3 linked regions of the Diceros bicornis minor genome follow. The protein of the gene in region 3 interacts with the protein of the main gene of each other region in a biochemical or structural test. Links are inferred from orthologs where the notes say so. Each region holds a gene or a part of one and is shown on either strand. Other genes may lie near its edges.

What was found.
Region 1: of the proteins of UBA1 (region 3) and UBE2R2, one has a biochemical effect on the other in vitro, tested with the Homo sapiens proteins (5 studies listed by BioGRID, with this or other methods). The link is inferred for Diceros bicornis minor from reciprocal best matches to the Homo sapiens genes UBA1 and UBE2R2.
Region 2: of the proteins of UBA1 (region 3) and UBE2C, one has a biochemical effect on the other in vitro, tested with the Homo sapiens proteins (5 studies listed by BioGRID, with this or other methods). The link is inferred for Diceros bicornis minor from reciprocal best matches to the Homo sapiens genes UBA1 and UBE2C.

What each region holds. Positions count from the first base shown.
Region 1 is NC_080761.1:53,484,939-53,494,800, reverse strand, and holds the start of UBE2R2 (ubiquitin-conjugating enzyme E2 R2), read right to left. Parts: upstream 3,955-9,862; 5' UTR 3,416-3,954; coding exon 3,239-3,415; intron 1-3,238. UniProt on the Homo sapiens protein: E2 ubiquitin-conjugating enzyme that accepts ubiquitin from an E1 ubiquitin-activating protein, and catalyzes its covalent attachment to other proteins by an E3 ubiquitin-protein ligase complex.
Region 2 is NC_080758.1:15,530,754-15,541,257, reverse strand, and holds UBE2C (ubiquitin-conjugating enzyme E2 C), read left to right. Parts: upstream 1-6,550; 5' UTR 6,551-6,595; coding exon 6,596-6,696; intron 6,697-7,239; coding exon 7,240-7,267; intron 7,268-7,995; coding exon 7,996-8,082; coding exon of another isoform or gene 8,083-8,091; intron 8,092-8,540; coding exon of another isoform or gene 8,541-8,638; intron 8,639-8,687; coding exon 8,688-8,892; intron 8,893-8,954; coding exon of another isoform or gene 8,955-8,998; coding exon 8,999-9,058; intron 9,059-9,533; coding exon 9,534-9,592; 3' UTR 9,593-9,786; downstream 9,787-10,504. Other genes in the region: DNTTIP1 (deoxynucleotidyltransferase terminal-interacting protein 1), read left to right, coding at 3,427-3,498, 5,095-5,150, 5,263-5,401. UniProt on the Homo sapiens protein: Accepts ubiquitin from the E1 complex and catalyzes its covalent attachment to other proteins. In vitro catalyzes 'Lys-11'- and 'Lys-48'-linked polyubiquitination.
Region 3 is NC_080781.1:40,991,264-41,002,074, reverse strand, and holds the start of UBA1 (ubiquitin-like modifier-activating enzyme 1), read right to left. Parts: upstream 4,984-10,811; 5' UTR 4,886-4,983; intron 1,570-4,885; exon of another isoform or gene 1,399-1,569; intron 1-1,398. UniProt on the Homo sapiens protein: Catalyzes the first step in ubiquitin conjugation to mark cellular proteins for degradation through the ubiquitin-proteasome system.

The DNA of each region.
Region 1 (9,862 bases), on a different chromosome or scaffold from region 3:
GGTAAGTCAGTAAGATCAAGAAACTGGACAAAAAGATAACAAGGCCAAAAAAAAAGTTTACAATACGCAGAAAAAAACTCAAGAAACTACCTTAGCCTATCCTACATCCATATCACCCCCCGACCAACACTAAGAATCACATGGATTTGAGATATTTAAAAAACAAAAGCAGGATGAATCAAAAAAAACATTTGTGGGGGCCGGCCCCGTGGCTTAGCGGTTAAGTGCGCGCACTCCACTACTGGAGGCCCGGGGTTTGGATCCCGGGCGCACACCGATGTACTGCTTGTGCGGCCATGCTGAGGCCGTGTCCCACATACAGCAACTAGAAGGATGTGCAACTATGACATACAACTATCTACCGGGGCTTTGGGGAGAAAAAGGGAAAAAAAAGAAAAGGAGGAAGACTGGCAATAGATGTTAGCTCAGGGCCGGTCTTCCTCAGCAAAAAGAGGAGGATTGGCATGGATGTTAGCTCAGGGCTGATCTTCCTCAAAAAAAAAAAAAAATGTGAAATACAGGTCGCACAAGTCTCTACCACAACAGATGCCATAGATAAAACAGACTGGAGCCAACTATTTCATGGTGAAAAAGATCAGTTAGAAGTCTATTAATACGTAAAAGTTAAAGGAGTTACAATAAAAAAAATTTAAAGAATGACTGGCAGTCCCGCTGCCTTCAGAAACTATTACGCAAAATAAAGAAGAGTTTAACTTGAAAATAAATTACACTAAATGTTCGAGGACTATCATTTGATAAGAGAGAATAAACAGTGGTAGAGAAAGGTCTGTGCCAACTTTTAACTGCAGCTGTAGTGGAACACACTAAAAGCCTTGTTTTAAAACAAAAGCAGTGAAATAAAAAACAATGGTTTTAAACCTATCACCAGTGTTAACTGCTCATGACTATATATTTGCCTTTTTCCAGTGAAGGACCTTTGGGATAAAGGCCATACAATAAGGAAAAAAGTAGGAGAAAGTGAAATTGAACAAAATTTTCTCACAAGACTAAAACATAAAACCTGTTTAAGAATTTTCACACATTTTTTTTTTACAAGTCACAAAGGTAAAAACACTCAAAGATTAAGAAATCTAACACATACAACAAAACTGGAGATTATTCTTTTTAAATAGGACTGAAATTAAAAACCATTTAATTTAGCAACTAGAAGGATGTGCAACTATGACATACAACTATCTACTGGGGCTTTGGGGGAAAAATAAATAAAATTATAAAAAAAAAAAAAACCATTTAATTTAAATCATGTATGCTACAGGGAATCTTCCTTCCATACTACCTATTCCAAACTGAGGGTTCTCCACACTCCTTTCCCAGTTATTTAAGCAAAAATATTACAATTTGCAACGTATTATTTTCTTTTACATACAGTTTTTGTTTTGTTTTGTTTTTAACAAAATGCATTGGAGTGAGATTATTCTAACTGGTACCCGTTTACCTTGACTATCGATTGTCCCAAACAATACTTTTTGGAAATTAAACTTGATTTCACTCAAGTTACCCAGTATATTATGCTAAATAATGCTTTGCTAGAAAAGTTATTACATAAATTCCATTTTGTGCAACTAATTTTTCCAGTATCTATAAATGAAAATTTATACTTCACAAGAAAACGTTCCTCAACATGGACACAGGAATACCTTCTCCAATTTGTCACTAATAACTTGTACGCTTCCTTAGTGACTTTAAACACCTGCATCTGAAAAGTACAGTGTATGGAGACCACAAAAGATGAAGCAGACAGTGTAAGCATACTCTTACACAATATTCTAAAAACATGCTTTTACTAGGTATTCAGTGACTATCTCTGGCGTGAATATTAAACATTCCCCTATCAATTCTTCACATTTTCCACAAAGCTGACCCAATTTCAAGCCTGAAACTGAGGCTTCTACCTTTAGGAGGGTGGAAAACCAAAGTAATTGGGTAGTCCTAAAAATACACATCATAACTACATGACTAAGATATTCATTTAAAACTTTTGCCGAGATAGCCCCTCCCTTCAAAACAAACTAAGACTGACTCACTGCTCTACTTCGCTTAATTTTGGAAATAAAAAAATTAAATTAAATGGATTCTTAAGCACCCGTTTCCTAAGTCTCTGCCCCCACCACTACCATTTAAAACATTCAACCTTCAATCTGTGATTCGTCCCTTCAAAAATGGTAAAATAAAAACAAAAACAAAATCCTCAATGTCTCCAAGTTATCTACCTTGGAACAACAACAACAAAAAAGTCACTGGATTTAGGAATGGTAATAACCACTGCTGTAAAATTATGAAAAACAACAGAAACAATGTCTATGGTCGCTGTCTTAGGAGCCGTCCTACTCAGTGAAACCGCCTCACCGCCGATGATACTTTCCATCTGTGAGACCACCCCATCTGCTCGAGTTAACCACCTGAGCAAAAGGTTTCAATTTTATCTCCCTAAAGTGGGAAACTACCAATCTCCCTACATACCATGTTCCACCCTCTGTGGATATTTCTACACGTACAGAAAAAAAAAAAAAGGCAGTAAAGTTGGTGGCAGGGTGAGGACAAAGGGCATTTTGAAACACCACTGAAGTAAACAGAGAACGGGGACAGAAGGAGGGCTAAATCAAATGACGGTCCCTCCAGTGGATCAGGGCAGGAAAACGCAGGCCCCCTTGTTCGCCAGCCCCAGGGTCCTAGTCTTCCTTGCCGCCCACTGGAATGCAAACTTGGAACCGCCACCACGCCAGAAGCCCATCAAACCCTCAAAATGTCAGGTCACTAGGCGGCCTCTGGAATGACAGCCCAGTACCCCTCCCCCACCCCCACCCCCCCAAAAAAGAAAGACCCAATCCAGTAAGTGCAGGTCACTCTGCCCTCTGGGGCAGTTCCAGCCGGCGCAGGGATGGTTCTCGTGGGGGACGCGAGAGGACAGACCGACCACCTCTCTCCCCGCACACCCCCAGCTGGGGAAACAAACAAAGACAGCCCTCCTCCTCCTCCTCTGGGAGCCGCTGCCCTCGCCCCAGAGGCTTTCCTCGTTCCCGGGGCCGTCTGGCCTCCCGCCCCCGCCCCCCTGACAAAGAAAAGGCCCCGGTGAGCCAGGCCTTCCTGCCTCCGCGGACGGGTGAGGGGGCTGCCGAGGCGAGCCCCCCCACTCGCGCTCCCCCTCGGCCCGAAAACTGCCGAGAGCGGGGGGAGCGGGGCCTCGGTGGAAGCCTGGGCCGGGAGGGCGTGGGGGTACCTTGAAGTAGCCGCCTTCGTAGAGGGTGTTCGGGGGTCCGAAGATGGCCACCTCCCAGTTGTAGAGGTCGGACTCGTCCACCAGGGTGATCCGGAAGCCCTCCACCGGCTCCTCCTGCAGGGACTTCAGCTCGAGCATCAGGGCCTTCTGCGAGCTGGTCATCTGCTGCTGGGCCATCGCGGCGGCGGCGGCGGCGGCGCCGGGCCGGCCCCAGTCCTCACGCACCGGCCGGGCCGGACCAGGCCCCTCCCCTCCGCTCGCCCTCGGCCGGGCCGCCCCGCGCCCCTGTCTTCACACGCCCGGCGGGCCGGACCAGGCCCAGACGGCCCGTGGGCCGGCCCAGGTCCTCCTCACCCTCGACGCGGGCCGGGCCGGGCCGGGCCCCCCTCCTCACACTCGGGCCGGGCGGGGGAGGGGCTGAGGGAGTAGGGCGAATCCGCTCCGGGTCCCGAGCCTCCCCCCCCCGGGAGGGGGCCTCAACCCTGGGGGGGGGGAGAGGAGGTGGAGGCGGAGGACGGCGGCGGAGGGCCGGCGATGGTGAGGGGAGGGGGCTGGGCCGGCCCGGGGCGCCGCGCTCGCTCGCCCTCTGGTTCTCCTCGGGTGCCGCCGGGGCCGAAGGGCGCGCGGGGCCGAAGGGCGGGGGAGCGCTGCGCGCGGGGGTCTCGCGGCGGTGGTGGCGGCTGCGCGGGGGGAGGGGCGACGGCGGAGGAGGAGGAGAGGAGCGAGAGCGCCTCGCGCCGCGGGAGCGACGGAGCTGAGAAGAAGCAGGAGGGAGGGCGAGAGGGAGGAGGGGCGCGCGCCGGCACGGAGGGAGGGAGGGCGGCTCTCGGCGGCGGGGGCCGACGCGCGTGCGCGTGCGCGCCCCTCCCTCCTCCGCCCTCCTCGCCCTCCCCCGCCCTCCTCGCCCTCCTCCTCCTCCTCCCTCCCCGCCTCCACTCCGCCGCCCCGCGCGGTGGCGGCGCTTTGTGACGCCGGCGCGTGTCCCCCGCCCTTAAAGGGCCAAGCGTCTCTGGGGGCCGAGGGTGGACGCAAGGGATGCCCTTGGCCGCAAATGACGGTTGTGCAGTTCGACGCCTTGGTTCCCAAAACCGGGCCGGGAAGGGACGTCTGGTCCTAGAGTTGTCAGCGGTCCCCTCACTCACCGTGTGCATCTACAGGCTTCCGCAGGCATCCTCCACGAGCCCCAGTCCCTTGCAGGCCCTCCTCGTGACACACAGTCCGCCTCCCTGCACTTAGTAGGTGCTTAACAAGGATGTGCTGAGAATGTGGGTCTTATCGGTGGGAACAAGCGTCCCGGCATCTTTCCTCAGGTTCGGCCCTCTCGCCAGTGCGTCCTTGGAGGGCAGCGTGTCACCCTCTTAGGGGGATGGGGTGGAGGGCAGTTTCCCATCTGAGAAATGGGGAAGGCAGATGGACCAGCCTCTACTTCCCTTCTTTACTGCAAAGAGGAAGTTGTGGGAAATAGAGAAATAATAATACAGACTGAGCCTGGGTTCCTCGCCCTTTTCTGTGTGATTTGGGGCAAGTGCTCTGGCTATCCCTCAGTTTGCCCATTTGTAAAATGAAGTACTGTGGTTTAACTTTGACCCTCTACAGATCCTTTCAGCTTGAAAGTCCAACCTGGAACTGAGGGACTTTTAAGATAATCATGACTGAAGTGAGATGTGGCAACAGTCTTCACTCGCATGACTTAAAGTACCCCTTTTTCTGGCCAACCCGTGGCTCAGCGGTTAAGTGCTCGCACTCTGCTGCTGGCGGCCCCGGGTTCGGATCCCCGGCGCGTGCTGACGCACTGCTTCTCCGGCCATGCTGAGGCTGAGTCCCGCATACAGCAACTAGAAGGATGTGCAACTATGACATACAACTATCTACTGGGGCTTTGGGGGAAAAAATAAATAAATAAAATTATAAAATACCCCTTTCTCCAGCTGGCCCGTGGCTTAGTGGTTAAGTGCGCGCGCTCCGCTACTGGTGGCCCAGGTTCGGATCCCGGGCCCTCTGTGTGGGCCATGCTCAGGCTGCGTCCCACATACAGCAACTAGAAGGATGTGCAACTATGACATACAACTGTCTACTGGGGCTTCGGGGAAAAAAAAGGAGGAGGATTGGCAATAGATGTTAGCTCAGAGCCGGTCTTCCTCAGCAAAAAAAGAGGATTATCATGGATGTTAGCTCAGGCTTCCTCACAAAAAGTAAAAAAAAAAAAAAAATACCCCTTTCTCTTAGGAAGGCACGTCCTATGATAACTGCCTAAACATTTCCTAGAAAAGCCAGAATACTGTGAGAGTTCCACACTTAGAATTTTGGGAATCAGTAAGATCCTTAGTTCCAACCCTGGCTCCACTATTTACATTACATTACCTCTTCCTTTTTCATCAGCTTCTATAAAAGAGGGTTAATTATACCTAACAAGCAATTGTAAAGATTAAATGAGATCCTCTATATACAATGTTTATCACAATGACTGGCACATGGTCAGTGATCCATAAATAGGAACTTTAAAGAAAGAAAAAAATTTTACAGGCATGGCTGTATTCTAGATACTATCCCCTCCACTTTTTTAATAGACTTTTTTTTTTAAACGTTGAATTGAGAATTTATTTCAGGGCCGGCCCCGTGGCTTAGCGGTTAAGTGCGTGCGCTCCGCTACTGGCGGCCTGGGTTCGGATCCCGGGCGCGCACGACGCACCGCTTGTCAGGCCATGCTGAGGTGAGTCCCACGTACAGCAGCTAGCAGGATGTGCAACTATGACATACAACTATCTACTGGGGCTTTGGTGGGGAAAAGGGGAAAAAAAATGAGGAGGATTGGCAGTGGATGTTAGCTCAGGGCTGACCTTCCTCACACACACACAAAAAAGAGAGAATATATTTCAAAATGGTGTCTCCCCAAAGAGTGGCGGGTGCCCATTGAAGGTGGTTAAGATGTTGTGTGGTACCTGAATCAGCGTCCACATGATGGAATCCCACATACAAGATGGATTCCCTCTGTCTCTCTGATGCTTCACCAAGAAAGTCTCCATTGGGCCCTGGCGTGACTTTAATGCCTCTCTAGTGCTTTCTTCCTTCCCACATCAGAGAGACAGAGCACCAGCTTCAGGTGTGTAGGACTTTTTTTTTTTTTTTTACAACAGTTTTAGATTTATAGAAAAATTGAGAAGATAGTACAGAGAGTTCCCATATACCTGGCACCCAGTTTTCTCTATTTTAACATCTTACCCTAGTACAGTATATTTATTACAATTAATGGACCAATATTGATATATTATTATTAGCTACAGTCTTTACTCACATTTCCTTAGTTTTTACCTACTGTCCTTTTTCTGTTCCAGGATCCCTTTCTGGATACCACACTATATTTAGTTTTCATGTTTTGTTAGGCTCCTCTCGACTGTGGCAGTTTCTTAGACTTTCCTTGTCTTTGATGACTTTGACAGTTTTGAAGAGTGCTAGTCAGTGGAGCTGGCTCCATAGCCTAATGGTTGGGTTTGGTGCGCTCTGCTTCAGCAGCCTGGTTCAGTTCCCAGGAACGGACCTACACCACTCATCAGCAGCCATGCTGTGGTGGCAACCCACATACAAAATAGGGGAAGGTTGGCATGGATGCTAGCTCAGGGCGAATCTTCCTCAAGCAAAAAGAGGAAGATTGGCAATAGATGTTAGCTCAGGGTGAATCTTCCTCAGCAAAAACAAAACAAAAAAAAAAGAGTACTAGTCAAGTATGTTGTAGGACGTCCCTTAATTAGGATTTGTGATGTTTTTCTCATGATTCAATTGGGGTTATAGGTTTTTGAGGGGAAGATCACAGCAGTAAAATGAAATTTTCATCACATCACAAGGGCACATAATATCAACATAACTTATCAGTGTCGCTATTGACCTCAGTCACCTGGCTGAGGTAGTGTGTCAGATTTCTCCACTGTAAAGTTACTCTTTTTACCTCCTTTTTATACTGTACTCTTTAGAAGAAGTCACTATGCACAATCCACACTGAAGGAGCCCCTTCATCTTTTTGTTGTTATTTTTTCTCAGAGATGAGGTCTCAATGTTTTAAAGAATCATTCCCTAGTTCCCAATTCTACTCTCTTGGTCTTGAGACCAAACTCCACTGGAATTAGAGCTCACTTCAGAGGAGGAGGAGTGTCTTAATCAATGCAGCCTCTCCTCCCAAAATGATGGTGTATGACTGGTTCTGACTTCCCCTCCTCCACCACTCAATTTAGGGATAAGAAGATTGCTGACCTGGAAATGTGGGAGATGATGTTGACACCTTTAATAACAAGGCTGTGAGTAGACAAATAGGCAGAAAGTTCATCTTCAAAGCATTTCACCCACATAAACTCATCACAGCCCCAGCCTAACTCAGAAGATGGTAGATCCCTAGCCTAATCCACTGGAACATACATCTGGCACCCAGATCCGAAGCTGCTGCCTGGGCTCAAATCAACTCACGAACTCATTCTAAATATCCACAATGGCCATGGCCCTAAGGTGGGTGGCTAATAAGCATATACCTGTCTGGGAGTTCTCACAGCCTAGTGTGTTAATTAGTTGTATACTTAAGGCTCTCCATTATCAGATCTGAGGAACTAGAATTCCACAGAACTTGTCTCATACCTTTTATCCTAGCAGGTGAAACATTGTTTATTAGTAAGTTGCAACTGTGTCTTATTCATCCCTGGATCCTCAGCAACCAGCATATTGTCTGACACAAAGTAGACACTAAGTAATTGTTCTTATGGGCTCACAGCCAAGGGCAGGAAGACAATCAGTAACAACAACAACAAAATCACAAATTGAATCCCATCCTCCACCCCAATGTCTAACAGGATCTCTCAGACACATAGTAGGTGCTCAAGGTTATAATTCCATAAATACAATAAGTCCTGTTCATAACCATATACGAGCTACTACAATGTTTGGCACATACCAGTAGGTACTCAAAACATATTTATCAAAAGAATGAATGGCAGAAACAGCTTCCTAGAGCTTTCCCATATTGTTTCATAATGACAGGTAGAGATTGACTTGACTGATTGGTGCCCTCTGGTGGTAAAGAAAACAGGACCTTTACCTTCAGTCTCTGGCATCACCTGGTACTCTCCAAACAGGGCTTTTCTGAAGAATCAATTACTTTTCTTCCAAACAGAAAAGATATGGAAATCTTGGTAAAATAAATGAGGGATGGGTATTTACTTTAAAAGGTTAATTCTGACCTTATAGAATGACTCTTTTTAAGGGGCCAACATTTTTTTCATTCTGCACGTGTTAACACATGTAGGGCTTGAATAGTGCTCTTAAGGAGTCATAATCTTCCTTTAACATTAATAGCTAACATTTGCTGTGCATCAGTATGTGACAGGCTCTTTACATGCAGTATCCTATTTAATTCTCACAAAAATCCATGACATGGTCATTACCAGAGTATCTATTTTACTAAGTATAATAAGGCTTAGAGAGGTTAAGAAAGTTACCCAAGGTCACCCAGTGAGTAAATGACAGAAGTTAAACCTTGGACATCCCACTTTAGTGTGACCGCTCTTAACCACCATGCTATAATGTTCCTAGTGTAATGTGCCCACAACAATCTGTACATATCATATCCCCCCCAGTGCTATATTGTACTGCAATTATTTGTTTACACCTTTCTCCCAGCCTCTTGAGGTGCTCTTAAGAAGGAGCCATTCAGGGCCAGCCCCGTGGCTTAGTGGTTAAGTGAGCGTGCTCCACTGCTGGTGACCCGGGTTCGGATCCCGGGTGTGCACCAACGCACCGCTTCTCTGGCCATGCTGAGGCCGAGTCCCACATACAGCAACTACAAGGATGTGCAGCTATGACATACAACTATCTACTGGGGCTTTGGGGGGAAAAATAAATAAATAAATAAAATCTTTAAAAAAAAAAAAACAAGGAGCCATTCATCCATTCAACAAATATTTATTGAGTGCCTGCTATGTGACAGGCCCTGTGCTAAATGCCAAGGATACAGTAATGAATGAGACAGAAATGATTGGATCCTGCCCTCATGGAGCTTACATTCTAGTGGCTGGGACAGAAACAGACAAAAACAAGTAATTAGTAGACAAATAGTATCATCGCAAGTTTTGGTGAGTACTAATGAAGGTAATTAAAGGGGGTTGCAATTTTAAATAGAGGCAGGGCAGGGGCAGAAGAAACCTCTGTGAGGCTACATTTTTTTTTTCTAGATGTTAAGGAAATTTATTCAAAAATCCAAGGAATGGAATTGTGCACTTTATACATTAATCTTATTTAATCCAATATATTATGTTAAATTATTTTATATCTACTTTTTCCACTCGGCTACGAATTTTTGGGGTATAAATATTATGTTTTATCTTTTCCTCCAGTTCTAAGCACAATGTCTATTATACAAATGTTTGTTGCATTAAATTAAACAAAATAATTGGCTTTTATAAACCACATACTAAATCACATTATAGATTCCACATTGTTTGTGAGGCTACATTTAAATGAATACAAGGGGGCCGGCCCGGTGGCGCAAGTGGTTAAGTGCGTGTGCTCTGCTGCAGTGGCCCAGGGTTTGCCGGTTTGGATCCTGGGCGTGCACCAACGCACCGCTTGGCAGGCCATACTGTGGCGGCG
Region 2 (10,504 bases), on a different chromosome or scaffold from region 3:
CCACAGCCTTATTTGGTTATCTGTAAAAGAGATTGAAACAAAGCAGAGGTTTTAACTCTTTGCAAAGAGGGGACTCCTCTCCTGAGAGCAGCTATGCTTTGGTCTCCACTGTTTGAGAATATGGGGTGGGAGGGGGGGTGGTCATGAATTCACTCACTCTCTTAAATCAATTTCTATTTTTGTTTTTTAATTTTTTTTTTAATTTATTTATTTTTCCCCCCAAAGCCCCAGTAGATAGTTGTATGTCATAGCTGCACATCCTTCTAGTTGCTGTATGTGGGACGCGGCCTCAGCATGGCTGGAGAAGTGGTGCGTTGGTGTGCGCCCGGAATCCGAACCCAGCAGCGGAGCACGCGCACTTAACCGCTAAGCCACGGGGCCGGCCCATGAATTTCTATTTTATCAGTCACAAAAGCATCCAAATATATTAGAAAAATAGTAGTCTGTGTGTGTTCAAGACGTGTTTTTTTGCACTTGTATGTAAAGTTTGGTGCCTCTTGCCAAAACCACACAGCCCCTTTGGGGTCCCAGAATCATGGGCTCTGTCTACTACATTCTGTGCAAGTTCAAGTTCTTTGAAGGGCAGACCTGCTTCCTCTACTTTTTCAGTTTTATTTTCTGGGATTCCCAACACCTAGACAATTTCACTACTTGCTACTTCTTCATTTTTCTCTCTTAGTGTCTTCACTCTTATTGTTCCCTTTACCTGGATGACCTTCCTCCCTCACCCTTATGACTGCCTGACTATTCTTTAAGATGCACGTCCTCCAAGAGCCTTGCTTGCATTATCCCCCCAATGGATGTGCTCTTGGACCTACTTTGACTTCCTGTTGCACAATGGTTAAGAGTATAGTTTCAGTCCCCATTCCATGACCTATCCATGACCTTGGGCAAGTGGCTCCATATTTCTGAGCTTGTTTTGTCATCTATAAAATGGAGATGATACAGACCAATCACTTAGGGTTGGCAGAATTACGAGAGAGTGCAGTGAAGCACCCAGCACAATGCCTGGTGCGTGGCACGTGGCACGGGCTCGGTAAACGTTCGTCACTATTACCAGCAGACTTGCCCAATTCTAGACCCACCGTTTGTAATAAACCCGCAACCCGCACTCTCATTACCACTGGATATTATCTCTCATTTTAATCTTTCCAGTCTGATAAGTGGAGGGAAAATGTTTTTGTTGTTTTACTTTGCTTTTAATTCTCTATTGGTGAGGATAAGCATCATTTCATTCATTCAGAATCTATCTGTATTTCTTCTGTAAAGTGCCTGTTATATCTTTTGCCCATTTTTCTGTCATTCAAAAGGCATTATTCAAATTTTTATTTTCCTTTTTATCTTTTTTGAATTATAGAAATCATATATAAACTCATTCTTGTAAAAAAATTCAAACAATACACAGAAGCCAATAGGGAACAAAACAAAGTTCCCCTTCACCCTTGACCCTGACTCTCCTCCCCTAGAGGTCACCAACGACAACAGTGGTGGCATCCGTCAGTCCCCTCCCTATGCACTTCTGTGTGTGTGTCCATCCTTTGTCCTTTAGTGATATTTTATGTTACTGAGATCATACTATATATATTGTTCTCTGATTTTATTTTTTTCACCCAAACTTCATTCATTCATTGAACAAATACTTATCGAGTGCTGAGCCTCCTCAAAGTGCTAGAGATAAAGGAGTGAACAAAGCAGACACACAAACTCCGTGTCGTCACGGAGCTTACTTGTACTGCAGGGCAAACTGTGGCCTCTAGGCCAAATCCAACCTGCAGCCTATTTTTGTCCAACTCAGGGTTTTTAGATTTTTAAAGGGTGATGTAAAAAAAAAAAGAAAGAAAAATACGTGACAGAGATGTGTGTGGCCGGAAAAGCCTAAAATATTTACTAACTGGCCCTTTACAGAAAAAGTGTGCTGACCACTATAAATCTAGTGCATAATATCCTTGAGGGCCGGCCCCGTGGCTTAGCGGTTAAGTGCTCGCACTCCGCTGCTGGCAGCCTGGGTTCGGATCCCGGGCACGCACCGACGCACTGCTTCTCCGGCCATGCTGAGGCCACATCCCACATACAGCAACTAGAAGGATGTGCAACTGTGACATACAACTATCTACTGGGGCTTTGGGGGAAAAATAAATAAGTAAAATTATAAAAAATATATATATATCCTTGAGATTTGTCCATGTTATTAAATTAAATTGTCTCCCTCATTTTATGTTTAACAGCTATATAGAATTCATACAAGAGATATTCCATAATTTATTTCATCGCTCCCCTATTAATGGATATTTAAGTTTTTTCCAACAGGTTTGCTATTATAAACAGTGCTGCACCAAACATCCTTGTGTTTGAGTGATTCTAAAGGATAAATCCCTGGAAATGGGATTGCTGGATCAGAAATTTTAAAACTTTGACTGATACTTATATTACTTGGGAAATAAAATGATTATTTAAACTCAAAGAGTAGTAACCGTATAGCCCAGATTTCCCAACTCGGCCTATTTTATAAAACCTACCTTTATTAAGCACTTATTATGTGTCAGATACTATATTTAGCACTTTTTAACCACTATCTCATTTATTTTTAACAACAACCCTGTAAGATAAGTATTAATCCTCTCTGTTTTACAAATGAAGAAACTGAGTCTCAAGGAAATTATTGCCCAGGTTTACACCGTCAATAAGTGGCAGAGGGGGCCGGCCCAGTGGCACAAGTGGTTAAGCGCGCACGCTCCGCTGTGGCAGCCCGGTGGCCCAGGGTTCGCAGGTTCGGATCCCGGGCGCACACCGACACACTGCTTGTCAAGCCATGCTGTGGCGGCGTCCCATATAAAGTGGAGGAAGATGGGCACGGATATTAGCCCAGGGCCAGTCTTCCTCAGCAAAAAGAGGAGGGTTGGCAGATGTTAGCTCAGGGCTGATCTTCCTCACAAAAAAATAAAATAAAATAAGTGGCAGAAACTGGAATTTAAACCTTGTTTGTCTAATTCCAAAGCCAGGTTCTTAACCGTGATGCTATACCACATCCCCCCAGATCATGAAGTGTCCTGATTTTTGTTTTAGAAAATACGGTCACTATAATAATCACATGTGTTGTAAGCTACCGCAGACCATTATTTCAAAGAGGGGTAGAGCTCTAAAATAAGAGTCACCAGTCTGACCAGTTGCCAGAGATGCTGTGTTTCGAGAAAAGAAGGGGGTGGGGATTAGAGGTGTACTAAACCTCTGGGAATTGGGTCCCATACCCTGGCCTCTTGGGCTCGGCTCCACTAGCTCTGAAGAGGTTGGTGAGCCCACTACAGCCACCAGGCTAGGACAAGGTCTTGTTGGTCAGAACTGCTCAAGGGCCAAGAGTATGCTCTGGGACCAAATGAGAAAAGCCCCTTGCGCCAAACTAATGCCTGTCTGTGACTTCATCCCTCACAGTATGCAGCTGACCCCCAGGACAAGCACTGGCTGGCTGAGCAGCATCACATGCGGGCAACAGGGGGGAAGATGGTAAGCATTGTTCGCACGTGCCACTGCCAAAGACCCATCCAGCCCAGGGACCAGGGTTCTGGCTATTGGTGGCAGCTTACCTCCAAATCTGAGAGACTCTCAAAGCTCTCCAGGATGAATGTGGACAGGGAGACTTGTATGGTTAGAGAGGGCCCATTCCTTCATGCTGAAGAGCAGGCTGTAATCCCTGGATTCCCTTCCCTGTCCCTAGGTCTCCCACACAGCACCCCCTCGCCCTACCACGTCATCCCTCCTATTTAGATTGTATTAGCTTTGCATAAGAATGACAGGTACAAAACACACTTAACACTACTTTTCTCTTGTGTGCCATTAACAGATTTCACTCATAGGTCATAACACTCTTCCACCAGACACAGCTATAGAGTCTTTTCTCAACACAGTACTCCAGGCGGCACCCCTCATCCATAGGGGTTAATACATGCAATGAAACTTGTTTGCCACATTTGGCAGCAGCTTCCAGAATCACCTCTACTTAAAGAGTTCTCAGCTCATATCAAGCAACAACCCTAGGAAAATCATTGTTGCATGTGTTCTAAAACTGTTGTGGAGGGCTTTGTCCATCACATGCGGTGTCCCCCAGCTGAGGACTCAACTTAGTGCCACCGCTGGGACTGTTAAAAATTCAGTGGCCTTGCAAACCAGTATGCCCTCTCCTTTCTGGCAGGGAAAGCTATCTTTTATTTTACTACTCTACTTATGCCTACACTCTTTGTTTGAAAAAAGATTTCAGGGAACTTACCATTGATACAGAAAATACAACATAATATAAATAAGAAATAGGGGGAAAAAGGAAAGGCAGGATCTAAAATTAAGCCACAAACAAGACTAGTTTTAAAAAAGTGTTTTTCTAATTGCTGACCTGGGAGACGAGTGTACTTCTATGGGTTCACACAAATTCAGCTCCAGGACCCTCTCAGGGACACCTGATCTGTTACATAGTTCACAATGCCCGTAAGATGAAGACAGTCAGATTACTCAAGGGACACACAATTATTCCTGACCCTAAAACTAGACAGAAGTGTCTTCCACAGAAGACTTGCTCATGTGAGGAACAACATCCCCCGTATGGTAAGCTCACAAGAGGGCTCTCTCCCACTGCAGATCATGGCATTGTGTCAAAGCCATTCTGCAGACCCCAGGCAATACAGCCTAGTTAGTAGACAGCCGTGCAGTTTATCACGTTTTCCCTTTTGCCACAAAGTTCAAAACCAAATCATCTTAGCTCCTAGAGTTAACATATGGCTTCCTCCTCCTGATTTCCTGTTTCCATGTATATTTTGCTAGCTCTCTTGCCATTTTATTTTAAGCTACTTCAGGGTCCTTTTTCAGAAGAGGAGGAGGCTGTAAATAATTTAGTCACCAGTCCCCACTCCCCCACCAATAAAGTTTCTATTTGAGTGAAAGATTGTCTCAGGGAACAATTCCCCAGTCTCCCTACTAACTCTCCCCTACTAAATTGTAACTATGCCCACCTCCCTTCCAGCCCTTAGAGTAAGCAGATGTTTAATAAAATGTTATTAAGTTGAACTGAAATGAATCACAGGCAATGACTACTCTCCTTTGCTCCTGCCCCAGGCCTACCTCCTCATTGAGGAGGACATCCGGGACCTCGCTGCCAGCGATGACTACAGGTAAAACCAGTGATCTGTCTGCTACCTTTCCCCCTGCCTCACAGTAGTCCCTGGGATGAGCCTGGGCCTATATCCTCCTTTGCTGCAACTTTCTTCCTCATTTCTGTTCCAGAGGATGTTTGGACCTAAAGTTAGAGGAGCTGAAATCCTTTGTCCTACCCTCCTGGATGGTTGAGAAGATGCGAAAGTACATGGAGACACTACGGACAGAGAATGAGCATCGTGCTGTTGAAGCACCTCCACAGACCTGAAGCCATGTCCCCTGGCTACATTTGGCAGCCTTCCTCTGAAGCCCTCTTACCCACGTGGCTGAGGCCACCACTGGGATGGATCTCAGCAGCATTAAGCTGTGCCTGGGCTAGTTTGTAGTGACTCACTGCAGAGCGCTCCCAGACTGGCATGTAGTTCTACATTTGTAAAGTTATTGGGATAGGAAGCAATTAAAGAGTTTGTAATAAACACAGATGGTGAGCCTGCTGTGCCGTCTGCCTTGTAGGGGCTGACAAAACATCAAGGGTTCTAGAAGAGGTGGATATAGGAAACCAGGACCATGTGCCCCTCCCCCATCCCAGGGTAGACCCAGGAAAGTCCCTCTGCCCCGTGCACATCTGCTTCATGAGACAAAGGTGGGAACACCATGTACCTTGCCAACCTTCCCTGTCCCTCTTTCTCATTTCCTTCCATACCCAACTAAGGTATGGAAGTAGCAGAATGTGCGTGCTGGCACCATAGGGGGTTGATGACAGACCATATGAAAAATGTGGAGAGGCTTTTATTACCCCCATTTTACAGGTTAAAACACTAAATGATGTTCCTAAGGCCACAGCAAACCGTTGGAGAGGCAGCACATGGACCTGTTTTCTAATAGGGAGTCTCCCGCTCTGGCCATCAGCCTCTAGTTTTTCCCCTCGCATGAATTTTCAGACACTTAGGGCCCTAATAAAGATGTTCAAGATCTTATAACGGGGGGGGGGGGGGGGGGGGGGCGGGGTTTCCGGTTTGAGGAAAGGGTACCAGTGCTGGGCGATTCCCCTGCGAGTAGGGATCCTGTCTGGGCGTGCCTCGTGTTCCCGGCAGTTCTGAGGCGTTTGACCTAAAGGGGCTCATCCCACGTGGACTTTTTCTTGGCCCTTTAATGGTTGGCGTTTTCCAAAGGCCACCAATCTGCTACAGACGCATTAGTTAATGGCGGCCTCATCTGCCAATCGCCCCTCAGAAGCAAGATTCCGCCGTCCAATAGTGATGCGCCGGTGGGTGGGTGGGTCTAGCAGTTGCGTGGTGACAGAGCGCTGCGGCGCGCCCCATTGGCTGGATCAAACCCAAGCGGGCCGCTGATTGGCCCGCGCTGCCGGAGAGTTACAATTCAAACGCGGGCGGCCGGGTCCGCAGCCCTGCAGTTGCAGCGGTGTTCTCCGAGTTCCTGTCTCCCCGCCAGCGCCGCGCGGATGGCCTCCCAGAACCGCGACCCAGCCGCCGCCAGCGTCGCCGCCGCCCGTAAAGGAGCCGAGCCCAGTGGGGGCGCCGCCCGTGGCCCTGTGGGCAAAAGGTGAGTGATGCAGGGGTCACAGCCTCCGGGCCTGGCACGACCTGAGCAGTGGGGCCCAGAGCGAAGACTTCCGGGACCCCCACCTCCTCCTGGAGCGGGTGAGATCTGGGAGGTGGGGGGACACGCCAAGCGCTTGGGCCGCTCTTAGAGACCCTGCCAAGGAGGACGGAAGGGGTAGTCATGCTGCCAGGATCCTCCTCGGGTGAGCCAACATGAAGATGCGCCGGGGACCCTCGGTGGCTTGGCGGGGGCCAGAGGAGAGGGAAAATTGAGATCCGGCACGGAGACAGACGCCAGAGGAGCAGTAGGGGTTAACAACACGCCAGAACCGTCCGGCGGGAGCCTGGAATCAGGGAGGGTGAGGACTCAATAAAATCCTCCTATGGAAATGGCCATGAGGAGTCCCCAGCTGAATCTGACCTCTCAGGGTAGAGAAATGTCCCCATGACAACTGCTCCAGAGAGACTGGGGTGGGAGGAGATGCATCCCCCGAAGCCTTGGCCCATCCAGACTCCCAGGTGACCCCAAATGCTCTTTTTGCAGGCTACAGCAGGAGCTGATGACTCTCATGGTGAGTGACTACCTGCCCAGATCCCCAAGTAGTTGGTCCACCCTCCCACCTTCCACTCACTTATCAGTAGCCTCCTTTCCTACGTCAGGCTCTTTGCCAGACATGGGGGTAAAAAGATGAGTCCAGTTTGCTCTTTTCTGGGTTGAAGTTAATATACCTCACCTACACCTTTTCTTCCAGCAGCCTCTACTCCCAATCCCATCCCCCCACAGTGAAGTTTTCTCCAATACAGTTCCCAGAAGCCATACAGGCCTCCCCGCTGTCCTGCCCTGGCCCTACTTCCCTGCCCTAAGATTTACCCACACCCAACTCTCCACCCTTCTTAGTATTTCTAGTCCTGTCATATCTTGGAATGACTCCTTCCTAGATGACCTTTTCTACATTAACCCTGAATATTCAACTCAAGTTGAATGCCCATATTGTATATCTCTCTAGTCTGTGAATAGTGTCTGGGCTTTGTACATAACGGGCACTCAATAGCATGCTGAATTGAATTCCCAGCAACCAACAAGATTATGGGTACATGATCCCAGTACTCCCCCCCAGAGGCACATGTACAGCCCCAAGAGTCTAACCACATCCTCAGAGAAGCCTACCAATTTGGTCTGGTTGCTTTATTTTGAATCAAAAAGTGATGAGATTAAGGGGAAGGGGTTCACCCACTGACCCCCATTGCTGTTCTCCAAAGTGTACTCTGCAGCCCAGCAGGTGTTGTGTTTCCTCCCCAGATGTCTGGCGACAAAGGAATTTCTGCCTTCCCTGAATCAGACAACCTTTTCAAATGGGTGGGGACCATCCATGGAGCAGCTGGCACAGTAAGTGTAGTGTTGGTGACTTTGCTGGGTCTGGGGAGAGGTAGGAGGTGAGATCCAAGCGCTAGATCTGCTTCTGTCTTTAGCCTGGCAGGACGCTCCCCTGCGTCTGTTCTCCTGCTCTGAGCCAGTGGCCCTGGTCTCTCCCTCTGTACAGTAAGAAGGTGGATTTAAAGCAGGGCTCTCCATCTTAGATGCATAGAGGGGGCCAGACAGCACGGAAAAGAATGGAAGACCAGTGAGGACTTTGGCCAATGGGAGGGCACAAGTCTCAAGATGGCAGCTTCCCATTGCTGCACATCTGGTTTAAGATGAGTCAGAAATCTAGATCTACGTCTCCTAATTTTTACATGTTAGCAACTAATGATCTAACTGGACTAAAGCACAGCTGTGGTAGCCCTCAGGATGCTAATTTACAACCTTAGACCAGGGATCACTGATGTCCCCCAGATAAGAGAGAGAGCACCAGAACCAGTGTAAGACTTTGTCTTCTGTCAAGTCCCAGACAAACTTCAAGGTCCTGGCCAAGCCCCTTATGCGGGCTTGGGTTGGGATATGAGCCTCAGGGTGGGGAAGCTTACTCCCCGCCTCTACTTCCCCACCGCCAGGTATACGAAGACCTGAGGTATAAGCTCTCCCTGGAGTTCCCCAGTGGCTACCCTTACAACGCGCCCACCGTGAAGTTCCTCACACCCTGCTACCACCCCAACGTGGACACCCAGGGTAACATCTGCCTGGACATCCTGAAGGACAAGTGGTCTGCCCTGTATGACGTCAGGACCATCCTGCTCTCCATCCAGAGCCTGCTAGGAGGTGACTTCTGAGACCAGCCCCTCCCCTGCAACCTAGGAACCTGTCAGGACTCCCGGGGCCAGCCTCTTCTACCCCCTGACCATTCTCTTTTTCTCCCCACCCACAGAACCCAACATTGATAGCCCTTTGAACACACATGCTGCTGAGCTCTGGAAAAACCCCACAGGTGGGTCCTTTGTCCTTCTCGGGCACAGGGTGATCCCTCCCCAGTCTTCAAGGCTCCCTCAAACAAAAGGATTCCAGTGACTTGGGAATGTGTCCTGAGGACTGGGTCTGGAGGGGGCTCGGGGTTGGGTGTCAAGCCACATAACCCAGTTCTTCCTCTGCCCTGGTGATTCTGGTTTGCCTGTGTGCTATAAAATCAGAAAATTATCCCTAATGTGGAAAACATTAAGGTAGGTTGAGGGGCTTTTTAAGCAGAAGGCAGCCTTGTGCAAATGACTTGCTACTAAGTCTCCCCAGTCTCACTGGCAGCAGGGCCCATCCAGGAGACCTGACCGAGTGGGCAGCAGAGGGGGAATCTGTTGTGCTGGGAACACCCCTCAGATTCCCCCCACCTGTGCATCCCTGGTCAAGCTGCCCTCTTGCCCACCTTAACTCCTGTCCCCAACGCTCACCAAGACCTGCCTGTTCTCTTCCAGCCTTTAAGAAGTACCTGCAAGAAACCTATTCAAAGCAGGTCTCCAGCCAAGAGCCCTGACCCGGGCTGCCCAGCCTCTCCTTGTGCTGTCTTTTTATTTTTTCCGTAGATGGTCTGTCTGTGCTTTCCTTGATTTCTCATAGGACTCTGTATCTTAAGCTGTGGTGTCATTTTTGTTTTGTTTCTGTTTTTTAAGTTAAGTCTCTGGTCGAGCCCTCGTGATGAATATATTAAATAAATACATTTTGTTTTTGTTTTTGTTTTTACAAATTGCCGCCTTGTAGTTACCCTAGGGTTGGAAGTGCTCAGGGTGGGCAGAGGTCAGGCTTAGCATCTGGGCTCTTGCCCTGCTCCTGTCTCCAGGGAGTAGAAGCAGCTGATAGGCTGTAGGGCCAAGCCAGTGGGGTGACTAGGATTTGTTCCCTTGTGATCTTACTTATTTTATGACTCTGCATCTGTTTCCTTGTCCATAAGATGGGTGTGACAATAATGCCTGTTTCTGTGGAGTTGTGACATGCACCAGGAATGTTAGAGAATATTGGAGCTGCCCCAGCTGTGTTGCAGATGAGGCTGAACCAGACCCTAGGCTGAAACCGCTATTGCTGTGGAAAGGGTGTGTGTGTGTGTGTTGGAGGAGGTTGGGAGGGGAGGACCAGCCACCCTTCTGACAGTAGATGTTCTGGCCCTGAAGGAGGACAAAGAAGGCACAGGTCACCCTGCACAGGCCCAGGGTCTGGGGTGACAACAGGAAAGCCCCTTCCTTGTCGGAGCCCTCAGGACTGAGCTCTCAACTCGCCCCTCATCCCAGGTCCCCCACAGATGGCTCCACACTCCAAGGGGGGTACATTCACCTGCTCCATCTCCACCAGCAGTGCCTCCAGTTGCTGCACCCACTGGCCCAGGCCCCCAGCCCCTGAAGCCATCTTTCCACTGGCCCCGACCTTTGGGCCCCTGGGAAGAAACCCTGTGCTG
Region 3 (10,811 bases):
TCTGAGGGAGTGGAAAGGGGAGGCTGAGCCCAGACAGTTCTGGCCCTAAAAAGTTGAGTAAGCAGATACTGGCTAGGTCCCCAACTGGGGTTGGATTTCTCTAACCAATTATGTGGGATCCCATGGAGGCTCTGAGAGTAGATGCTACAAGAGGGATTTTCTACTCTGATGGAAGACAACAGGGCCTGTTTGGGGAGGGGACATCTGACAACAATGTTGGAGTCCTACAAAGGTGAAAACAGAAGCTGAGGGCCTCTGACTGAAGATGCTGGGACCTTGAAAGGCTCTGAGGGCAGATTCTGAGACTTGATATGAGGTTAAGGGATCTGTGAGAGAAGCTGGAACCATGGCTGGCTTTTGAAGGCAGACATTGAGTGAAGGGTGGGGTTTGAGAGGTGAGTCTCTGATGGAGGAGGCTAGGAGCCAACAGAGTCTGCAAGGGCAGATGCTGGCAGGGGGATCTCTGATGGAGTATTATGTGTCCAAACTGTTCCTCCCTGGTATCTGGTCCCCTGGGAGGCTCTGAGGGGAGATACTGGGGGTTAGGGGTATCTGATGGGGAAGATACTGAGACCTGCAAAAGGTAGTCTCTGAAGAGAATACTGGGACCATGAAAAAGGGGGCATTCCCTTAAAACAGAAGAAGTCTCTAAGGACAGATTCTAGGAATTAAAGGCGTCTCTAAAGGTAAATGCTGAGGAGGCCCTCTATATAGAAACGCTGGGCCCAGAGGCATTTTTGATGGAAGATGCTAGGACCAGGGTGGGGCTGGGAGACCTCAGAAATGTGGAGAAGGGGTCTCTGACAAGGAGGCCAGGCCCAAATGGCCTTTCACAGGGTTTACTCCCCTTGGACGCTCTGAGGGCAGATAGTGTGTGTGAAAAAAGATGCCAGAATAGACTCTCTTTCAGAAATGAAGACAGCATGGACTCTCCCGGGGGTCTGGCCCCGCTTGGAAGCTGCGAGGGCAACTACTGAAGGACTGGGGGTGTCTGAAGGGAGAGTCTGGGGAAGGTCTTTAACGGCATACATTGGTGGGGGGCTTTGACCAGAAATGTCGATCCCATAAGTCTCTATCAGTGACTGGGGAAAGTACTGATCTGCAATATAAGGTTCAGGACAGGGTCAGGTCCCTGACTAGGGATATTGGGCCTGAGTCTCTGAAAGCAGACCCTGGGGGGTCTGACCACAAGGTCAGATTTCCGAGAGACTAGGTTGGTCCCGGATGGGAAGTGTCGGCCCCGCCCCAAGATCTGCCTCCCCACCCCCCCACCGATCCCCTAGTCCAAGTCACCACGGCCCGCCCCAACATCAGCCTGGTCCAGCGCCGGCCCAGGACCCTCCAAAGCTTCCCGAAATCCCTGCCCTGGCCAAGGCGTTAAGAAAGGCCATTTGTTACCAATGCCGGTTCCCCGGGTCGCGCCGCCGCCAACTCCTCTAGGAGCCGAAGCCAAGCCCGGCCGCCACCCTCCTCCTTCTCCTCCTCCCCGCCTCCTGGGCTGCCTAGAATCTCCGCCGCCTCCGCCGCCTCCGCCTCCGCCGCCTTCTCCTCCCCCGACCGTAGTGGCTGCGCTCGTCCCTGCCACCTCCTTCACCTCCACCGCCACACAAGATGGCGGCCGCTGAGCCCGGGGCCGGAACAAAACCTTGGGCCCCACCCCCAGAAACCCGGATGCAGGCAGGCCGCGCCCATTCATGAATCATGTATGATGGTCCCTCCCTGTCTGTGACTCATTCAAAGAAGAATAGCTCCACCTGGTGGCTACTACAGCGGCAACTAGGAAAACAGATAAAACAACGTAAGGCCACGCCCCATGGAACGTGAATAATGAATACACTGTTGCAGCCAAGCTGCCATGGAAACCAAGAAAGGACATCAAGACCACAATTCCTAATCATGAATTATGCATGAGGCCGGGTGGTTGCTAGACTAACACCCCGAAACCAGAAAGCCAAGGTTAAAACATAGAAGCCACGCCCAACTGCTCATAAATAATGAATAATCTTGCAGCAGCAGGGAAGCCAAGGAGACCAAGGCCACTTATCATGAATAATGCATAAGTCTCGGTGGGCTGGAAAAAAAGGGATAGGTCCACCTATTGCTGCATCTCATACCCTCTAAGCAGGGAAATAGGGCTACTACAGGGAAAATACTCCCCTGGCTCATGAATAATGAATAATACTGTTGCCGCAGCTCAACCTGGAAACTCAAAGAGGTTAAGCAAGGTCCCACCCAGTTAATATGAATTATGCACCAGGCTGGATGGACAGAAACACTCAAGGCAGCCCTGCCCAGCAAGTAGGGATTATGGTACTCCAGCCAAGGCAACATGGCCACGCCTTCCTGTTCATGAAAAATGAAAGACGATGCTGCAGAGCCACAGGGGAAACCCAGGGGAAGTGCAGCTGCCTCCTCCCCACCTCTGACTAACTGCACATGAACCAAGGCTGCCTTGGTCCAACCAAATCCAGACTCACTACATGCCTTTGGCAGGTGCCTCTGTTTCCACAACCGTAAAATGGGTATAGTAATTGAACTCATCCACCTTGTAAAGGCAAAATGTGTTATGAAAATCAGAGAATGTGAATTATGGAATGAGCTCAGAGCAGTGCTGGCACAAGGCACTGTTAAATTTTTTAAGTATTATATATTACTATAAAGGTAATATGTAAATATATATTTATATTAATATAAAATTAGTTATAGGTGCGGGTATACCCAGCCCCTAGAGAAACCCCCAACTTGGGGCATTATTTTAAAAGTAATGCCTTGAAACACCATCCCAGAAGGATACTGGAAAACAGAATGCTAAGGCCACCAATGGCCATTAAACAGGTAGGGTAGACTACCATGTCACCAGAGATACAACTGTATATCAAAGCCCAAGGCACACAGTAAGCGCCCAATACATTTCTGTCGAATAATAATAATAGATCACATTAATAGATCGCTAACACCACTATGTCGTGGCTCCTGTAGTGTGTCCTTTACATGCATTGTGCCACTGACCTCAGGAATGCAGAACAGGAAATGGGTTCCTTCTTTTCCTTCAGGTCTCAGCTCAAAGGTGATCTCCTTAGAGAGTTCTTAAACCCTCACAAAAATCATTTCCATCCACGGATGACTAGCTGTGTGACCTGGAGCCAGACATTTCACTTCTCTGGGCCACTGTTTCCCCACCCATAAATTGAGAACAATAGTAACTTACCTTGTGATGGAGTTTAAACGAGTAAATATGTAGAAAGGGCTTAGAACAGTGCCTGTTCTAATAGTGCTATATGACTAACTTTAGTAGTAGTACCATTAAATTGGGAGGAGGGGGCATTATGGCATTTGATTAAGACTACAGACTCTGGGGGCGGGCCCTGTGGTGTAGCGCTTAAATTCCGCGCATTCGGCTTCGGCGGCCTGGTTCTCGGGTTGGGATCACCAGCACGGACCTACACCACTCCTCAGCCACGCTGTGGCAGCGACTCATAAATAAAAAAACAGAGGAAGACTGGCACCGAGTTAGCTCAGGGCGAATCTTCCTCAGCAAAAATAAATTAAAAAATTAAAAAGACTACAGACTCTGGAACTAGACTGACTCACTGACTGTGAGTAACCTTAGGCAAATTATTTAGCCGCCTGGTGTCCCAGTTTCCTCATCTATAAAATGGGTAATAATAACCTACCTCCTAGGATTGTTGTGGGGATTAAATGGGCTAATAAAGTGCTAAATGAGTGAAAACTAATCTGATTATCATTATGCCCATACCCATTTTTAAGGCTCACAGAAGGATTTGCCAAAGATCACGCAGCTGGGAAGGATAAATGGGATTTGAATCTAGAGCCTTTGTTGATAATCTGGGATTACTGGGCCATAAGGAATGAACAATACACGAGGCCTCAATCCTTTGCTAGACGCAAGGCTTAAATCCTGGAACCCACAGGGGAAGACTAACAGCGGATCACGCAGATGAAGCTGTAAAAGCTACACCTCTCATGAATTACGCACAACACCCCTGGAAAAGCCACAGAAAGCTCGGGGCGCTACTCACCTTTACGATTAATCAGTGAGCTCTAGTTTGCCTGGCAGAATGCAGAACGCCCCTCAGCACACCCTTTCAGCATGCTGATCCGCCCCCTCGTGAATAATTCACAAGCCGACACTTCCAGCGGACCAGGTGCGAAAGAGGCAAAAATAGGCTTCCTCAACAGCCCCACCTCCTCATGAATAATGAATAAAGCCGCGGCCCAAGAAGGCCGGGTGGCACCCGGTCCCCTAGGGACGAGCCTAGCACATTGGGCTCCGGCGTCCCTTCCACAGCCTGGGCCGGCGGCTCCTCTCCCTAGAAACGTGTGGGCCCAGACGTGTCCAGTCTTCCCGCCCCAAGTACCCAAGCGCGGGGGGACCTCGTCACTGAACCTGAGGTCACAAAGGCCACAGATACCTCCACAATGCCACGTCGGTCCTGAACGTTCCCACTGTCACCAGGACCTTTCATGAAACAAGCGCTCTCAAAATTCCATCTTGGCTTCAGGAACCCCAAACTTCACCTCTCCCCTTGGGGAGCATCTCGAATCCTGCCCCATGGACAAAGTACTCACACACGGACCCTAAGGGTCTCTCCGAACATCCCCCTAAACCCTGTCTCCTAGGGGTATAAACTCTGCTTCCGAGGGGTATATAAACGCTGCCTCCGAGGTATCTCCTAAAACAGATTCCCAAATCCCACCCCAGAGACCCCAAACACCACTTCCTAAGGGTACCCTCAAAAATAGCCACCCCTAAATGCCACCCCAGGCCCAGAGCCTCCAAATATGGCCATTAGGGAATCCCCGAAATTGAGCCCCCTCCCTCAAATGCTGTCCAGGGGTTTGGGGGCACCGCGCTCCAGCTCACCCCCTGCGCCGGGCGGAAGCCTCGCCTTCCTGCTGGAGATGAGCCGAAGCCACGGGGCAACGGAAGAGAAAACCACCTCCGTCGTACAAGAAGCGCCAGAGTTTGCGCGGAGCTCGGAAGCGCGGGGCCTTGGAGGGCCCCGGTTTGGGATGTACCACAGATGCTAAGCTAGAGGGGAGCCCGCCCCTGCTCCCGCGCCGTCAGCGCCCATGTCAGACCCAGACACCCCTACAGGTTGTGGTACTTCCCAAACGCGCGAGGCATGCTGGGGGCGGTAGTCCTGTCTGACCAGTGCCTGGTGCACGTGGTGGGCATCAGCGCCCAGGGTATAGGAAAATGTAAACCTGGACTGTGGAATTCCAGGAGCTGAGCTCTGGAGGGATAGGAAAAGGGAGCGGAACATGGTGGGTACCTCCAGATGGAAAGGCACACCCATCCTACAGATGGCAAGGCTGAGGCTTAGAAGGCCAAAGGAGTTCATTTATTTGACATTTGTGGAGCTCAAGCTGTGGGACCGGTGCTAGGGATTCTTCCTTTCCCTCACGGAGCTGACATTCTAGCGAGAGAGACAGACCATAAATACAACAAATAACTAAAGATTGTAGTTTCACATATACATATGTATTATAATATATGTGACTCTATAATATAAATTATATAAAACAAAATGTACATATAAACACTACATAGTTTACATAACATGATAGCTAGTGTCAATATGTAAATAATTTACATCTGTATATAATAAATGTCTTATTAAATACACTGTGTATATTCTATATTCATATGTGAATATATGATTAAATATATACGTAAATATGTATTGTATATATGCGATAACTGTCAAACGCTATGGAGAAAAATAGAACAAGGTAAGGGGAAATCTGTGGGGACAGGTTGCATTTTTAGATAGTGTGGTCAAGGAAGGCCTCGCTGAGAAGGTGATGTTTGAGCAAAGGTGTTTAACACAAAATGCCTTTGTCACCTTATCCCAAATTCTGTATCTCATATCCTGTCAACAACCTCCAAAGCTGTTCATTTGAAAAAGATTTATTGAGTGTCTACTAAGTGCAGGGGACTGGGAGCATAGCAAAGAACATAGCAAGGAAACTATCCTTGCAGTACTCTAGAACACTCTTCCCTCAGGTCTTTTCCTTCTTCTGTATCCTTTGCCTCACCTCAGAGAGACCTCTCCTGATTCCCCATGTAAAGTAGTCAGCGAATGCCTCTCTGAGGAGGAGGCATGTGAAAAGTGAGGAAGCGAGCCACGCGTGGAGTGGGGAAAGCATTCCAGACAGAGGGAACATCAGGTGCAAAGCCTTGAGGTTGGAAGTTCTTGGCAGGTTTGAGGAAGAGCACAGAAGTCTGTGTAGTTGGAGAGGAGTGAGGAAGGGAGAGCACTGGGAGATGAGATCTGAGGCCATGTCAAGTAAGGCATTGTAAGCCAGGCTGAGACGTTTGGTTTTCATTCTAAGATCTGTGGGAAGCCGTAAAAGGATTTTAAGCAGGGGAGTCACATTATGTAAATTATATTATATATATATATTTTTTTGGCGGTGTAATCGCTTTTATTCGGATTTTTGAGAGCACTAGAAGGGCCGATTATTACCTATCTTTCCAAGTTAAGAGATCTAAGACTGTTTCCAAAAGACTTCAGATAAGAAACTCCCCCTCAAAAGACGAGGGTAATCTGAATCATCTTAAACCAGCAATAAAAAAGTAAAATATAAACTTTTATTTAGAATTAAAGCAAATACTTCAGTATCACAAACAGAACATTAAACTTCAAGAAATATATGCTAATTTGGAGTGAGCGTTTATTTGCACAATTACAACACGCAGACACACCCAGCAGAGGAGCAGGCCTCACACCCGACCCAGCGCAGCGCTGGTCACGCCACCCGCACAGTGTGGCACAGAGCGGCACAGCGCGACAGGGGGCACTGTGGTTGATCGAGCTCCGGGCGGTGAGGTGCGAGGACGCAGGTCTCCACTACTCCGCGCCGGAGGACTCTGTCGAAGGTGTAGGCCATGAAGCAAGCTTCGGGTCTCTTGGGGACAAGGGGATGCCCTGGCCTCACAATCTCAAAGCCCAGAAAGCTGAAGGTACGGAGCAAGGCGGCTCTGTCATCACGGCTCTTGTGGAAGCAAATGAAGACGCGGTCAGCGTGGGCTGCTCCTCGGCAAACTCGGGAAGAACCTCGAAGCTGTCCTCGCTGCCCTCGGGCAGCGCCCCGCCCCGGATCTCAACGTCGAGGGAGCCCCCTGCAGCACCACTCTCCAGCTGATGTGCTTGGCGGCCTTGAGCCTGGTCTGGACATTCAAGATTCTCGTCTTGTCGTTAGACGTTAGTTCCTCTGTTACATTCAGCCAATTATCAGAGTAAAATAAATTAGCTGAAAGATTGTGATCTCTCTGACTATTCCCTCGCCCACCTGGGATCTTCAGGGGTGGGTGAGGGACATCGGGAGCACCACCGAGGCCCCGGACCCAGCTTACTAGAGCGGGGAAGGGAGACCCTGGAACTCCCGCTGCTGCGGCCTCCGTGGCTGTGCAGGCTGAGGACATGGTGCGGCTGGTATGGACGGTGGTGCTGGGTTTATCCCCCTCCTTCTTAAATTATATTTTAGAATGAACAATCTGGCTGCTCTGTGTGGAGAGAGAACAAACTGTAAGGGGAAAGGTGGAAGCAGAAAAACCAGTGGAAAGGCCACTGCAAGAGTCCAGGAAATGATGAGAGGATCAGACCCAGGTGGTGAAAGTGGAAGTGGTGACGGGGGGTTTAGACTTTGGGTTGATTTTGAAGGTAAAGAAGCCAGGATTTGCCAAGAGATCAGATATGGGGCATGAAAAATAGAGAGTAGTCCTAGTTGACCCCCAGATTTTTAGCCTGAGCACCTGGAAGAATGGAGTTGTCATCCACTGACATGGGAAATACTTCAGGAGGAGCAGATGTGGGGCAAAATCGGGAATTTGGTTTTGGATGTATTACATTTGAGATGCCTGTTAGATGTCCAAGGTCTGGTATGTGTCAGTTGAGTAAACAGTTGGGGACTGGGTCTAAAATTCAGGAGGTGGAGGGAGGTCTGGGCTGGAGATACAGATTTGGGGACCATCAGAGGTGACAACTGAAGCCATAGGTGTGGCCAAGTTCTTCTCTGAAGAATTGGTTGCCTTCAAATGGATCATTGGGAGTAATTGAGGCCGGCTTTGGACTTTACTGAGTGAGAGGGAAGGGCATTCCAGTTGGAGGAAACAGCTTGAGCAAAAGCCTGTGGAGGTAGGGAAGCAGGAAAAGCGGAGGGAGGTGGACGGTGGGGGCAAGAGTTGTACCATTTTGCATTGCTTCCAGCCATGTATGAGAGTGCTTGCTGGTTCACAGCCTCAATGAGCAGATTGTCAAGACTTAGGTTGTTTGCCAATCCGGTGTAATTATAATTTGCGTTTCTCTTATTAGGAGTAAGCTTGGGCATCTCTTCATAGAGTTAAAGGTATTACAGTTCTTGCTTTCTGGGGATTTTCTGTTCGTGTCCTTTATCCATTATCTAATGGGTTGTTGTATTTCTTATGGATTTTTAGGAACTCTTTATATATTAGCCTTTTTTAAAAATGGAGTCTTGAGGATGAGAGTAATTTGAACAGCTGTGGTGTGTGTATTTATTCATGCTTGCAAGGTCTGCTACGCGCCAAACCCTATTCTAGGCATTGGTGACACAGTGGTGAGCAAGGCAGACAGACGTCCCTTCCCTCGTGGAGCTTTCATTCTAGTGAAGGAGACAAACAATATAGAAAAGTAAGAAAATATATAGTACGTTAGACGTTGAGAAGTGTTATGGAGAAAAGTAATGCAAGGAAGGGGTCACAAGGTGGTGGGGGAGGGTTTGGAATTTTAAACGGGGTAGCTGGGGCAGGCTTCATTAAGGAGGTGACATCTGAACACTCAAATGGCATGTCTCCTTCAGTCTGGAACAGTTCTTCAATCTTCCCTTGACCTTTATGACCTTGATGCTTTTGAAGAATATAAGCCTGGAATTTTGTAGACTGTCCCTCAGTTTGGCATTGTCTGATGTTTCTTCATGGTTAGCTTCAGGTTCTGCATCTTGGATATGCTGTCTCTTTGTTTCATCCTATCAGGGGGCTCATGATTTTAATATGGATAATTTTCACTTTGTTCCCTTCATTAGGATGGTGTCTGCCAGGTTTCTCCACATTAATGTTTTTCCTTTTCGAATTAACTAACATGCATTTCGTGGAGAGATACTTTGGATCTATGTAAATATCCTGTTCCTCATCAAAGTGTCACCACTAGTTTTAGCATCCATAGATTTTCTAACTCTATCACTGTTCCGTAGTTAGTTGACATTCTATTGTAAAGTAGATATTTCTTTTCTCCTCCATTTATTCTTTTATCCATTAATTTATATATATAAGTATGAATTCACAGATTCTTGAACCTTATCAAATGCTTTTTCTGTGGTTGAGATTGTTTACTTTTGGTCTGTTAGTAGGGAACTACATACATTGCTTTTCTGTTGACCCAATTTTGCATTCCTGGGACAAACTCTATCTGATCAAAATATATTTGCTAAATATACTAGTGGCTACATTTAGCTAAGATTTTTTTTTTTGTGAGGAAGATCAGCCCTGAGCTAACATCCATGCTAATCCTCCTCTTTTTGCTGAGGAAGACCAGCTCTGAGCTAACATCTGTTGCCAATCCTCCTTTTTTCCCCCCCAAAGCCCCAGTAGATAGTTGTATGTCGTAGTTGCACATCCTTCTAGTTGATGTATGTGGGATGTGGCCTCAGCATGGCCGGAGAAGCGGTGTGTTGGTGCGCGCCCGGGATCCGAACCTGGGCTGCCAGCGGCGGAGCGCGCGCACTTAACCGCTAAGCCACGGGGCCGGCCCGCATCTGTACTAGATTTACTACAAAATTAAACTACAAATTTAATTTTGTATTTGATTTGTTTGCATCTTCTATCTTTAACTGATCAGTCTTGCTAGAGATCTGTTTTTCCTCTTAATTTTCCTCTTAACAAAAATTAAGATTCTGCTTTTGATTTTGTTAATCTGTTGTTTTTCCCTCCCTATTTCATCTATTTCTGTTCTCTTCATTATTTCCTTCCTTCTTATTGAGGTTTGCTCTGGTGATCTTTTTCCAATTTCTTGTATAATTTACATATAATAAAATGCTCAGATTTTAATTATTCAGCTTGTTGAATTTTTAGCTAAGTATACACCTGTGTGACCAGCATCCTAGTCAAGATATAGAACATTTTCATTATTCCAGAAAGCTACCTTGCAACCCTTTCCTGTGAATAACACCCTCCCCCCCTCCACCGCACTCTACTAAATATGTTTCGCCTGAGAACTTCACATAAATGGAATCATACAGTATATACTCTTTTGTGTCTGACTTGCTTCACTCAACGTTTGTGAGAGTCATTCATGTTGATGTTTGTATAAGTATTTTGTTCCTTTTTATTGCTGAGTTGTATTCCATTGTACAAATCTACTATAATTTATCCATTCTCCTCTTGAACGTTTGGGTTGTTCCCAGTTTTTGGCTTTTATGAATACAGCTTCTATGAATATACATATGTCTTCTGGTAGACATATGTTTGCATTTATTTGGGGTAAATAGCTAAGAATGGAATTATTGGGTTACAGGGTAAGCATAAGCTTTATATGAAACAGCCAAAGAGTTTTCCGGAGTGGCTATACCATTTACTAGTGCCAGCCATGTGTGAGGGCTCCTTGTTGTGGGGTTCCAGGAACCATCCTCTGGGGAATGGGAAGAAGGAAGGGAATGCAGGGGTGCCCGCACACTAAAGGCCACCCATCCTCACTGAGGTTCTTTCACGTGGTCTCTTTCTATTCCTCTCCTACATCCCCTCCCTCTCTCACTGGGCAACACCCCAAACC